3 linked regions of the Macaca mulatta genome follow. The protein of the gene in region 3 binds, or shares a complex with, the protein of the main gene of each other region. Links are inferred from orthologs where the notes say so. Each region holds a gene or a part of one and is shown on either strand. Other genes may lie near its edges.

The links. The genes of interacting proteins can lie anywhere in the genome.
Region 1: MED8 (region 3) and MED23 share a complex: the UniProt entries of both Homo sapiens proteins name them as parts of the mediator complex. The link is inferred for Macaca mulatta from reciprocal best matches to the Homo sapiens genes MED8 and MED23.
Region 2: MED8 (region 3) and MED18 share a complex: the UniProt entries of both Homo sapiens proteins name them as parts of the mediator complex. The link is inferred for Macaca mulatta from reciprocal best matches to the Homo sapiens genes MED8 and MED18.

The regions. Positions count from the first base shown.
Region 1 is NC_133409.1:36,639,198-36,643,698, reverse strand, and holds part of MED23 (mediator of RNA polymerase II transcription subunit 23), read left to right. Parts: intron 1-869; coding exon 870-1,115; intron 1,116-2,034; coding exon 2,035-2,177; intron 2,178-3,156; coding exon 3,157-3,331; intron 3,332-3,989; coding exon 3,990-4,153; intron 4,154-4,501. UniProt on the Homo sapiens protein: Required for transcriptional activation subsequent to the assembly of the pre-initiation complex. Component of the Mediator complex, a coactivator involved in the regulated transcription of nearly all RNA polymerase II-dependent genes.
Region 2 is NC_133406.1:212,596,855-212,602,000, forward strand, and holds the end of MED18 (mediator of RNA polymerase II transcription subunit 18), read right to left. Parts: intron 2,527-5,146; coding exon 1,973-2,526; 3' UTR 1,237-1,972; coding exon of another isoform or gene 1,221-1,236; 3' UTR 976-1,220; downstream 1-975. UniProt on the Homo sapiens protein: Component of the Mediator complex, a coactivator involved in the regulated transcription of nearly all RNA polymerase II-dependent genes.
Region 3 is NC_133406.1:196,876,004-196,880,231, forward strand, and holds the start of MED8 (mediator of RNA polymerase II transcription subunit 8), read left to right. Parts: upstream 1-1,428; 5' UTR 1,429-1,432; intron 1,433-4,228. UniProt on the Homo sapiens protein: Component of the Mediator complex, a coactivator involved in the regulated transcription of nearly all RNA polymerase II-dependent genes.

The DNA.
Region 1 (4,501 bases), on a different chromosome or scaffold from region 3:
AAATACTTGAGGTACATGTCATAGCAAGAGAATCTGACCAGCACCTATATCAGGAAACAGCTACAAGATTAGTCTTGCTTTTATGTATAGATTTTTACAAAAAATTTTTCAAGGCTGATCTTCAGTTGAATATGTTATAAAGTTATTAATATAATGAAAGCATATCAAGTTTCATAAATGTAAAAATGTTTCAGAATTTCTCAAGTGCTTGGAACTTGAGCATGAGCTGACTGAGATATTCATCTGTGGGCTGCCAGGAATGATTGAGCTGATCTGGCTGGCATGCCCCTTAATATCTCTTCCAAAGTTGTGATGACTCAAAGAAGATACCATTCTTAGATAGTATTGTATTGTATTGTAGTCAAGGGTGCTAGGAATAGCCTAACTTCCCACCTAGAACTTCTGAAAAAGACTGTCACATCTCTTCATAGGATATGGCAGGGGAGTCAGACTTGATATTTCATTTGGTTTTCATTTTATGAGATACCCCTTAACCACCTTTTCAAAGTGATATCTGTAATGAAGACATTGTTGTGTTTATACAGACAGATAATAAGTAGAAACCTGGTTCACAGACTTGTGAGTTATTTCTTCGGTCTCTGAAACTTAGCCTAATATGGTGGCTGTATATGTAGTGCATACTTAACAGATACCCATTAATTGTTTATTTAAAATTATTTTTCTTCTGAAACACTACCTCAACTTCTATGTGTATTCCCACTATACGTTTCACACAGAAACTCGAATACGTATAGGAACAAAGATAGCATTAATAAATAATTGCATAAAATTGAACTTTTAAAAAAATACAAATTAACATTATGGAAGTAATTTTCGTTTTTTCTTTTTAATGGAACATGAATTTTTAGGTTCCTGCAGCAGAGTCTGAGAAATAAAAGTTTACAGATGAATGACTATAAGATTGCTCTATTGTGTAATGCATACTCTACAAATTCAGAATGTTTTACATTACCCATGGGAGCTCTGGTAGAAACTATTTATGGAAATGGAATTATGAGGATACCTCTCCCTGGAACAAACTGTATGGCTTCAGGATCTATTACCCCCTTACCCATGAACCTCCTGGATTCACTGACAGTTCATGCCAAAATGAGGTATGTTCTTTTTATTAATTTGATTCCATGTCAGGGAATTGATACGAGTATAGTATAAACCTTTATTTCATGGTTTTATGTGTGTAATTTTTCATAGTCAGGTACATTTAGGGAAAAAAATAGCTTTATTTTATTACAAAAGTAAATATTTTTTATTATAGGAATTCTAGGATAAACAAACCCAAAGAAAGTAATTGTCATAATCTCTCCATGAGAGATAAGCATTATAAAAATTTTTTGCACTTTTTTTTTTTTCGTTTTTTGTAGATAGTAAGAAGGAGGACTAGTGTAGCTAGAGCTTCCAACGTTTTTGAGAAGGGCTAGAAATCCAGATTTTTTATTACTAGTCTTTCAGCCTTTAAGTATTGGCTCAAATTTAAAACAACCACCGTATAGGCCTAAGAGAATTTGTCTGTGGGCCTCCAAGTGGAGCATCAGTTCTGGTAGAGCTATGCTCTTTTTCAAGTGGTAACCATTGTGATAGAATTACACATGTGCTTCACTTGCATGTATAACAGATTTGAGCAAAGCCTCATTAGAACCTAACATTTGGGTCTTAGCTATGATGTGTTAAAGTAAATCTGTGACAGAAGTTATTTAATTTCCCAAATGTATTTTGATGCATCATTGGAGTAACCAAAATCTCTCAAGCTTGCTCTTATAAGTTGAACCCAAAGTTTGTTTTCCCATGAGCAGGGGGATCCGTGTGCATATTGAAAGCACCATGGAAATCGGAATGAGTCTCAGGTTGTGCAGTGCATCCTTACCAAGTGTCCTGCACAATTTAGACACATTAAATGAATCAACTTCATTTGAATCATTTAAGTTCAAATTATACTAAGTTACTTCTAAGTAGAGTAGCGCCTATGTTTATGTCAAAAATATGGATTTTTATTTTCTTCCCTTTTTTTCTCCTCAGCCTTATTCACAGCATTGCAACCAGGGTGATAAAACTTGCTCATGCAAAGTCCAGTGTGGCCTTGGCTCCAGCCCTAGTGGAAACTTACAGTCGTTTATTGGTCTATATGGAAATAGAGTCTTTGGGCATCAAAGGATTTATCAGTAAGACAGGACTTTCTGGTGTTTATAACTATTAATCCATTCATTAACTCTAAAGGTACTTTTCTAGTTCCGGGGACACAGCAGAGAACAAGTCACCACCATGATGGAGCTTATGGAGGGGGACGTTAAATAAATGAAATATATAATATGTCAGGTGATACATGTTATAGAGAAAAATAAAGCAAAAAGGAATAGGAAGTTTGAGGGTGGGAGGGGGGGTTTGTTGCATTTTTAGGTAAAGTGGTAAGAAAAGGTTAATGTGCTAGGTGCCTGGGATGTGGTGAGCAGGATAGACATGGTCCCTGTCCTCATGCAAATGGATTCTGCCTGAGGCAGTAATGCTGTCCTCCAGTGCATACAAAAGGCTGACTGGCAGTAAAGAAGGAATTCTCTTAGATTGCAGAAAATACATTATAATGTCTGTTATTTATTATGTAGTTCTAAAATAATAGATACTTTCTAATATAGAAGTGTTTTTCTGATTCATCATAATTCCAGCTTTTCATGAATACAGCATAGTTTTAATTTTAACCATAGTAAGTCTTCCTAGATAACTGATTGTTGAATAAAACTTTCTCGGGGGTAGGAGGAAACAAGGGCAGGTGTAAAAATACAGTTTTTTGTATTAAAAAGTGAACCTCATACTTCAAAAGGTATGGAACATTAACTGTCTAAAAATAAAAGATACCAGAATTGAGAAGATTAATGCTTTTTCGTATCTTGTCTCATTTTGTTTTTCCAGATAAACATGATTATCACTTGCCAAGTCCCAGGAAAAAATAATTGATATTATAGTTAGGATCTGAATTTTTCCTTACTGTTAAAGTAGAAAATAAGAAAATGTGGAGAATATATATGTGTGTGCGTGTGTATTTTCGCAATCAAATCTTTATTTGATTCACTCAATGTGACTTTCTTCAACTATCTTTTAATGCATAGCCTTTACTAATTGGTACCTTAAATTGTCTTTTTCCTCCAGGTCAGCTTTTGCCAACTGTTTTCAAATCACATGCATGGGGGATCTTACATACACTCCTTGAGATGTTTAGCTACCGGATGCATCATATTCAGCCTCATTACCGAGTTCAGCTCCTGAGTCATCTTCATACTTTGGCTGCAGTTGCACAAACAAACCAGAACCAGCTCCATCTTTGGTGAGCTCATTGAAGGCCATCTTTCCTTAAGATTTACTAGAAACTTTCTTGGAGATGAGGTTCTTAATCCTTTGCCTTATAGGTTTTTTTTTTTTTTTTTTAATTCATCTGTCATAAAACTTCTCTGCTTCTAAAGTATTTTGTTTCCATTATAGGAGCAGAGTCCAGCTTTTTAAATAGAAACTGATTAAGATAGTTGAGTTCTTGCTTCAGGATCTTTGGACTGAGAATTAGTACTTTCAGGGTATTTATTATTATGTTGTAACTTAGCCCTTTAGAATGCTGTTTTTAAGTATACTTCAGATTATGGTTAAAGTATCATGTCACATTGATTTTGCTTTAAATTAAAATATATTTTAGATAGAAAAATATAATTTTTGAAATGCAGTATCTCCAGGTGAAATTTTTTAGTCCTATAGGCGACAAGTCATCTTTTTCAAATGTGTAAAAATGTCAAGATTTTCACTATAAAATTGGACACATTAGGTTTTTTAAACAAATTAAGCAACATTTATTCTCACACACAAGTGTTTTTTTAATTAAAGAAGGGATAGTCATATAGATTGCATGTTTTTCCAGTGTAATTAACCTTAGAATTAGATTTAATTCTATAATTCTGAAATTTTTTTACATTTCTTTTTTTTCTCCCACTTTTCAGTGTCGAGAGCACTGCTCTCAGGCTTATAACAGCATTAGGTAGCTCAGAGGTACAACCGCAGTTTACACGCTTCCTTAGTGATCCCAAAACAGTGCTCTCAGCAGAATCTGAAGAACTGAACCGAGCCTTGATATTGACCTTGGCTAGAGCAACTCATGTTACAGGTACGGTGACTATGTGACTACAAACAAACAAAAACAGATGAATTAAAGTGTGCCGTGATTCTACTAATTACTATGGGTATAACATACTAAAAAGATACTTTTCATTTGTTCAAAAAAAGCCAGTTGTTTTGATATCTTCACTATTTCATTCATTTATGGAAGCTCTTTTGTGTAACATCATTCTATTAATAACTGGGTTGAGCATCAGTTTTCAGTTATCTTCCATAATTTTAAAGTAGTAATTCTTTAAGCTTTTTGGTCTCAAGACTGCTTTACACTCTTAAAATTGAAATTCCCAAAGAGTTTCTGTTTATATGGATTATATCTATGGATATTTATTCTATTAGT
Region 2 (5,146 bases), about 16 Mb from region 3:
GGGAGGCGGAGCTTGCAGTGAGCTGAGATCCGGCCACTGCACTCCAGCCTGGGTGACAGAGCGAGACTCCGTCTCAAAAAAAAAAAAAAAAAAAAAAAAAAAATAGAAAATTAGGCCAGGCACAGTGGCTCATGCCTATAATCCCAGCACTTTGGGAGGCCGACGCAGGCGGATCATGAGGTCAGGAGATCGAGACCATCCTGGTTAACACAGTGAAACCCCGTCTCTACTAAAAATACAAAAAATTAGCTGGGTGTGGTGGCAGGCACCTGTGGTCCTAGCTACTCAGGAGGCTGAGGCAGGAGAATGGCATGAACCCGGGAGGTGGAGCTTGCAGTGAGTCGAGATTGTGCCACTGCACTCCAGCCTGGGTGACAGAGCAAGAGTCTGTCTCAAAAAAAAAAAGAAAAAAAAAAATTAGCCAGGCGTGGTGGTGCATGCCTGTAATCCCAGCTACTTGGGAAGCTGAGGCAGTAGAATCACTTGAACGTGGGAGGTGGAGGTTGCAGTGAGCTGAGATCATGGCAGTACTACACTTGAGCCTGGGCAACAAGAGCGAAACTCTTGTCTCAAAAAAACAAAAAAAAATTTAACAAAAGGAGATTGTAGACAAATATCTTGGAAAGATGTTAATGATAGATGAATAGGAAAAAAGGGTTATAAAGCAGTATATATGGAATCTTCTCTATAAAATAAACACATTTCATATACATAAATTTATAAAAAGTAAAGACTAGAAGGATAAATACCAAAATAGAACTAGTACTCTCTTTGGATAATAGGTGTTATTTTTTATCTGTACCGTATTTTATAAGTTTTCAACAATAAATGTGCTACTTTTATGACAGGTGAAAACTCTCATCCTCATCTCTACCATAATTAAAACTAGGAACTGTCATTTTTTTGCTTCAACTGGTAATGAATCCACCCCAAATTTACAGGGTAAAGGAATAAAGAATCAGAATTACACAGACATTTCTCTTCATTGGCTTTATTACCATATAACACAAGCTCACAGCCTCTAATGTTACAAACCTTATACACAAATGGCCAAACAAGAAATTTTCCTTTCCAAAAGCTAATTTATTCCGGTTTCCCCTCTTTATTTTTATTTTTATTTTTGAGACAGAGTTTTGCTCTTCTCACCCAGGCTGGAGTGCAATAGTGTCATCTCTGGTCACTGCAACCTTCACCTCCTGGATTCAAGCAATTCTCCAGCCTCAGCCTCCTAAGTAGCTGGGATTACAGGCGCCCGCCACCATGCCCGGCTAAATTTTGTATTTTTCGTAGAGATGGGGTTTCACCATGTTGGCCAGGTTGGTCTCAAACTCCCGACCTCGGGTGATCCACCCACCCCGGCCTCCCAAAGCGCTGGGATTAGAGGTGTGAGCCACCGCGCTTGGCCTGGTTTCCCCTTTTAATAATACAGTGGGATTAGATAGATTCTCCGTGACATCCTGAGCCTTTAATGTAGAAAGGCTGTCATGAAAGTGAAATCACCACATAAGAACAGTGCAAAGAACCAATTAATTCTCACCATCCTCTCCCTGAAGGAAGAATGCCTGCCTGGCAATGGTGAAATGGGGCATTTAAAACATATTTTTTTGGCCGGGCATGGTGGCTCATGCCTGTAATCCCAGCACTTTGGGAGGCCAAGGTGGGTGGATCACAAGGTCAGGAGTTTGAGAATAGCCTGACCCACATGGTGAATCCCCATCTCTACTAAAAATACAAAAATTAGCTGAGCATGGTGGTGGGTGCCTGTAATCCCAGCTACTCAGGAGGCTGAGGCAGAACTGCTTGAACCCGGGAGGCAGAGGTTGCAGTGAGTCAAGATCGTGTCACTGCACTCCAGCCTGGGAAACAGAGCGAGACTCTGTCTCAAAAACAAAATAAAACAAAAACCAAAAAAAAAGCAAACATTTTTTCAAGCAAGTAAGGACAGGCCCCAAATGTGGACAGATCCTCTTAGTCACATGAGCCTCTTGGGGTCTATTTTCTCTAGGTGAACCAGAGGTTTTAGCTGCTCTGCAAAGTTCTTCATGTCATCAGAGACCACATCCTGCCCAGCGGGTGCTACCACACTTAATTCCACGAGATAGGAGAGTGACAAGGCCTCAGTGCTGTCTGTGTTCCCTGGCACCAGGATGCGGAAAATCTTGTACACCATAATCTTCATGATGCCCTTACGGAACAAATGTCCCTTAGCAACAAACTCATGGTCCATGCGGAAGCCCATTTCCATCAAGAAGTCGGTGAGGTTCTCAGATGTGGCAATGTCCACGCAGTTTCGCACCAGGGCGTGGCGATTCTTGTCTCCCATTTCTGGCTGTCCCAGGTAGCGCAGATGCCAGGGTGCTCCTGCCCTGTCCATAGAGCGTCGGGCCCTGAGAACAAATGGGCTGGCTTGCTGGCCCTTAAGAAGGAATACCATCTCATGGTCAAGGAAAGTCTCAGGTTCCATGTTGTCACACAAACCACGAAGGCGGTGGATGAGGCTTTCCAAACTGTGATCTAAAACACTTCCTGAAAACGGAACAAGCACCACTGAGTCCTATCTTTCATTTTAGGTCATGGAGTTAGCATACAATTGAAAAAACTTAATGAAAAACCAAAACAGTTTAGTGAAGCATTTCATAAAACATAGGGCCAAACATGAGATTTTAGAGAAGTTGCACTACCAAGGTATTGTATAACGTTGTGAGAAAGTTATTTCCCTTTTCAATTTTTTGGAATTTTCTTATTTAACACTACAATGTCTTTAGGCCTCCTCTAATGCTAATCTCCAGCAGGCCTTGGGCTTAGAGCCTTTAATCAGCAACAGGGTCTATCTAGAATGTAATAATACTGTTTTAATTATGTATTTATTTATTTTGGTAGAGATGGGGTCTTACTATGTTGCCCAGGTTGGTCTTGAACTCCTGGCCTTGGTCTCCCAAAGTGTTGGGATTACAGGCACAAGCCACCATGCCCAGCCAATAACACTATTTTGTTGTCATATAGTTTAACAATTGCCTTCTATTTCCAACAAATCAAACTTTTCCATTTATAGAAATATAAAGTTTCACCCCCTTTTTCTGAGACGGAGTCTAGCTGTGTCTCCAGGCTGGAGTGCAGTGCTGCGATCTCAGCTCACTGCAACCCCCGCCTCCTGGGTTCAAGCGATTCTCCTGCCTCAGCCTCCTGAGTAGCTGGACTACAGGTGTGCGCCACCATGCCCAGCTAATTTTTGGATTTTTAGTAGAGACAGGGTTTCACCACATTGGCCAGGATGGTCTTGATCTCTTGACCTCATGATCCGCCCTTCTCAGCCTCTCAAAGTGCTGAGATGACAGGCGTGGAGCCACCGCACCCAGCTAAAGTTTCCTTTTTATCAGGAAAAGTTTTCCTCTTCTATATGTAAGTAGAAGAGAGTGAATTGCTTCATAGAATCTTCATCCTCTTGGCAACATCTGACACAGTTGTTATAGTAGCTTATACCCACTATGAAATCTATTCTTCCCTTGGCCTCTGAGACACAACTTTCTTGGTTCTTCACTTAACTTGCTGAACAGCCCGTTTAAGTCTTCTTTGCTTGGTCTCTCTCAACTTCCCTAAACACTGGAGGACTAGGACTCAATGCTGGTCCTCTTCTGTATCAATACTCTTTTCCTGCCTAGGTGACTTTATTTGGTCCCATGGCTTTAAATATCATTTAGGCCCTGAGGACTCCCACATTTTTATCTCTGGACCACAGAAGAAAACATCCAACTGACTACTCAATTTCCTCACTTGGATGCCTAACAGACATCTTTATCTTAACACGTTCAATATCAAACTGTTGATTTTTTCCTCCAAAATCTTATTCATCCTGCAGTCTTAACCATCACAGTAAATGGCAACTCTCTGCTTCTAGTTGGTTACCCGGGCCAAAAACCGGAAAATCATCTTTCACTTCTTTCTTTCTCCCACACCCTCCATTTAATCCGTATTTTTGAAACAAATGCAGAATGCAATCACTTCTCGCTCCTCTGGTCACTTCAACCTATAGTCCCTTCAAATGAAGTCACCCTCATTTCTTGCCTGGTCTTTGCAAATAGCCTGTTTCTACCTTTGCCTTCTTCCTCTCTTCTCCACACAAAAGCCAAATGATCTATTATATTATTGGGCAGATAATAACACTCCTCTACTCAGAACACTCCAGTGGCTTCCTGTGTCACTCAGAATAAAAGCCAACGTCTAACACTTCTCTACTCAGAACACTCCAGTGGCTTCCTGTGTCACTCAGAATAAAAGCCAACGTCTTTACCATTGTTGACAAAGCCCTACATATTATGGTCTCTGCTACCTGCCAAACAACATCTCCTTCTATTCTTCCCCTTGATCATTATCTTCAGGAGTGACCTTCCTGCCAGACCCCTTCCCCTATTCTCTATGCTTAGGATGTTCTTCCGATCTGCATGTCTACTCTATCACTTTTATCAGGTCTGCTCAAGTGACTTTATCATCAGGGCCTTTTCTGATCACCCTAATAAAATAGTATGTGTCCTACCAATCTCTAGCCACTTTCCTGCTTTATTTTTATGGCATAGATTTGTTGTTGTTGTTGTTGTTGTTTAGATAGGGTCTCACTCTGTCTCCAGGCTATAGAGCAGTGGCGAGATTATAACTCTTTGCAGCCCCCATCTTGGGGGTTCAAGTGATCCTCCCACCTCAGCCTCCCAAGTAGTTCGGACTACAGGTACATACCACCATGCCCAGCTAAGTTTTCTTTATTTTTAGTAGAGGTGAGTTCTTGCTATGTTGTCCAGACTGATCCTGAATTCCTGAACTCAAGCAATACTGCAGCCTTAGCCTCCCAAACGACTGGAATTACAGTCATAAGCCTGTAATAGCTGGCTTGACATACATTATTTTTTAGTCATCTTTCTCCCTCCATGGCTATGGCTCAAATGTTTGGAACATATTCAGATACTTGTTGACAAAATCTGGCCTGGCGCAGTGGCTCACGCCTGTAATCCCAGCACTTTGGGAGACCAAGGCAGGTGGATCACCTGAGGTCAGGAGTTCAAGACCAGCCTGGCCAACGTGGAGAAACCCCGTCTCTACTAAAAATACAAACATTAGCTAGCCATGGTGGTTCACGCCTGTAACCCCGCTACTTAGG
Region 3 (4,228 bases):
AAGGTGACAGTTCTTACAAACCCCTGTGTGTACGACTCAAGCAGGTGGAATGAAAATGGAACTAGGCATGTGCTGCTGAAACTGAGAGTAAGATGGTATGGATAAGCTTTGGAGCTCAGGGGTATAGGAAAAGTTTTAGTACAGCTGCTCTAGAAACAGGAAAGGAAGCTGATAAAGGAAATGGAAAAGGCAATATTGCCAAGTACTAAATAGGGCACAGTCTGAAACTGGGAGAGGAGTGTGGTTCGCCTTTCTATCGAGTCTCAAATGAAAGACCGCCCAATCAGAGACAGATGGGCAGACCTGGTCAGAGCTTGGTATCAGTGGGACATTTTCAGGAGGACAAGGGGGTAAAGGCATGGAGGCTGCTACTGAAAGAAGCCAGCCTGGGTGAATAGGAATGGAAGGGAAGTCAGCCAGGGCTGAGCACTGGAAGAACAGGGAAAGCAGAAAGCCAGCAACCCAGAAGAGGTCGAGGGCAGGGACCTGCAGGTGGCATGGACCTGTGCAGCACAGCAGACAAGGTATGCGTTTGAACCAGGCCACCATGGTGCTAATCCGGGCTCCGCTGTTTTTTCCACTACGTAACTTTGGGCAAACTACTTAATCTTGCTGAGCCTTAATTTCCTCATCTGTAAAAAGAGTAATACAAAGATCAAAATCTCTTATTTGAGCCCCCTCAAACTAGATAGTATTAGAATCTCAAAGTGTTCAGATTTTAGGAAAGCAGTATACTGCACAAACCATATATTATTTAACATCCCCCTATGAGGTTTGGGGCAGCATCCTGTAATTAAATGTTAATATTTCTTCTATGAAATGAATCTTTACGCTAGAAGGAACTATAAATACATTCATACCATTTCAGGTCAGATTTTACTGCCAAATGAATTCTGACACTTACCTTTTAAAAAAAATGTTTAAAGATGTTTCAAGTTCATATGTGCCATATTGGTGGACCATTAATAGAACCCACCTCATAAGGCCATGTCACGAGGATTAGATGACCAAATTAACATTAAGCAGTGAACACAGTGCCTGGCATGTAGTTACGTCCTCAATACATGCTGCTGTTAGTGTTTTTCTCATCAGCATCATCACTGTTGATGACAGTGTGGCTGAAGTAAAAGGGGGACTGATAAGTGGGGAGGAATATAGAGAGGGAGAAACACAGTGAAAATAAGGCAGAAAAGCAGACCAGATGGGGTTTTGAATACCAAGTTAGGAGTTTGGATTTTATTGAGTAGAAGCAGACAGAGCAGAGAAAAAGACTATAAATTTTTCAGAAAATCAATGATATCAACAGATTTTTGCTTCAGAAAAACCATTCTAGTGGCAGTGTGAAAGAGCGCAAGGAGGCTAAGACCTAGCAGGAGAGCTTTGTGGTAAGCCAGGTGACAGATGATGAGGGTCTCACATGAGGCTGTGGGGGGTGGGATGAAATTCAAAGGGAGAACGGACAGGATTGGGAAACTGATCGGGTGTGGGATGGTGAGGACTAAGAGAAAATACTATCACAGAATATAAGGGAGTAGAAATATTCCAGAAATAGATGGGCAGTAATAATGTTAAATGTAGCAAAAGAAAGAAGAAGATAAGGTGTGGAAAGCATTCTCTGGGTTTGGCAATTAGGATGCTACTGGCAATCTCAGGAAGAGCAGGCTCAGTTGACTCCGTGAGAATGGAAGCCACACGTTATCAAATGTCATAGAGCAGCCAGTAAAATACAGACTGAAAAAATAGGGGTTGAATTCACTAACAAGGAGGTTTTCAATGACCTCTGACATTCATTGCAGTTTGACTTAATGAAGTATTATGGGTAACCTGCAAACCGCAGTGGTTTGGTATAGGGATGGGAGAGTAAGGAATAGATTGTCCAGTAGATTGGTTTTCTCTATGAAATGGGAGGTGATCACTGGCTGTGGGCATTGGGAGGGAAGGAACTAGTTTTCCAGTTTGAAATAGGAGATTTCAATTGGGGCTGAACGACTTTCTCTGTAAGTGGACAGTAAATATGTTAGGCGTTGTGGGCCATAGCCTGTCACATATCCTTCTGTGCTTTTGTTCTGTTTTGCTCAGCAACCCTTTAAAAATGTAAAAATTTGTTTGTTTGTTTGTTTGTTTTGTTTTCTTTTTTGAGACAGCCTTGCTCTGCCACCCAGGCTGGAGTGCAGCATCGTGATCTCAGCTCACTGCAACCTCTGCCTCCTGGGTTCAAGTGATTCTCGTGCCTCAGCCTCCCTAGTAGCTGGGATTGCAGGTGTGTGCCACCACGCCCGGTTAATTTTTTGTGTTTTTAGTAGAGTGGGGGTTTCACCATGTTGCCCAGGCTGGTTTCAAATTCCTGGACTCAAATGATCTGCCTGCCTCCCAAAGTCTCCTAAAATGCTGGGATTACAGGCATGAGCCACTGCACCTGGCCTAAAAACACAAAAATCATTTTTAAGCCAGACCACACAAAAATAAGCTCTTGGATAGATCTGGCATAGGAACCAGAGTTTGCTGACCTGATTTAGATTACTCCCCTTTCAAATCTCCCCAAGTGACAGAAACGACTGCATGTTCATTGTAAAGCAGAAGCACCCAGGACAAAGACAGAAGAGACACAAAACTGGAAACCAAGTAGACAAGTGGAAGTCAGCAAACTCAGGAAAGCTGAATCCTGTGCTGGTAGTGGGAAAAGTTGAACTGAACGTGAAATATATCACAGAACTCCCCAAAGACTCAATCACTGGCAGCATCAGGTACCACTAGTAGAGGGAATGAAGATGATACTGAAAACAAGATTCCCGGTTTCTAAACATGAGCAGGCAGCCAAGATCATGAGGCATTAGAGGAAAGTATTTTATATAAAGACAGGAGACCAAAACAAATGAAATCTAAATGCAACATTGAAAAACTGAAGAGACTCAGGGGGATGAAAACTCAGGAAAAAAAAATCATTAAACTCCTCAGAGAGAAGACATTTTACTCATGAAACAGGTAGAGGATATCATAAAAAATATATTTGGTGAACAAAAAGAAAAAAGTTACCCTGGAAAATGAAACACATAATAGCAGAAATAAAAAGGGCTGGAAAAGGAATTGGAAAAGTTAAGGAAATTTCTCACAATATAGAACAAAAAGATAGAGATGGAAAACGATTAAGAAAATATTTTTAAAAGATTAAAGGACAAGTCCAGAAAACATGACTTCTGAATATGGGAGTTCTAGAAAGAAAGAATAAGGGGAAAAAATGAAAAGGCGAAAATGCTGAAAAGAATAACTCAATAAAGCTGTCCCCGAACTAAAGGTTTTGAGTTTTTTGTGCTTAAAAGGGTCCTCTGAGTGTCCAGCACAGTATGAAAATAGCTCTCCATCAAGGTACATTATCGTGAAATTTCAAATTTCTAGAGAGAACAACAAACAGACTTTATATAAATAATTAAAAATCAGAACAGCATTAAGACTCCTCAAGCAGAACACCAAAAGCCTAGAATACAATGGGGACAGTACCCTCAAAATACTGAGGAAAAATGATTTCCAACCTAGAATTCCATACGCAGCCAGACTATCAATTAAGTGTGAAATCAGAATAAAGACATTTTCAGGTATGTTCTCAAAAAATTACTTCTCATGTATCCTTTCTCAGGAAATTAGTACAAGATGTGTTCCATTAAATGAAGAAGTAAAAAAATATGGGGCCCAGGAAATGAGATATACCACAAGAGGATGGTGACAGGGACTTCAAGACCACAGATGTTTGGCTACACAGAGAGCAAACCACCCAAGGAGAGCATGCAGAGGCTCCCAAAGAGAGTTCTTCAAGAAAATGAAGCTGACAGACAATCTAACATGTCTGAATATATGGAGAACGATTTATACAACTGGAGAAGAGTTTAGGGTTGAATTAGTGACAAATACACAAAAAACTAAGGAAAGTAAAAAGCAAGACTTTTACTGACTTCAGGAAAAACAAAACATGCAGTGAAAAACTAGTAATCATGGTATCTATGAATAGTGTTTCTATGGTCATGGTATATAGATTCAATATTGCTCTAACTATATTAGGAGAATTGGAGGATAGATTGCATGGCTATGGTAGAGGAGTGGTGAGTGTGACAGAGTATTAAATATTCATCTTCCATTGAAGAAAGTCAGTAGGTAATACTCAAAACAGAAAAATCAAGAACTGGCAACATACTCTTGTTATTAGAGATTCAGTGGTTAAAAACCAAACAAATTAGCT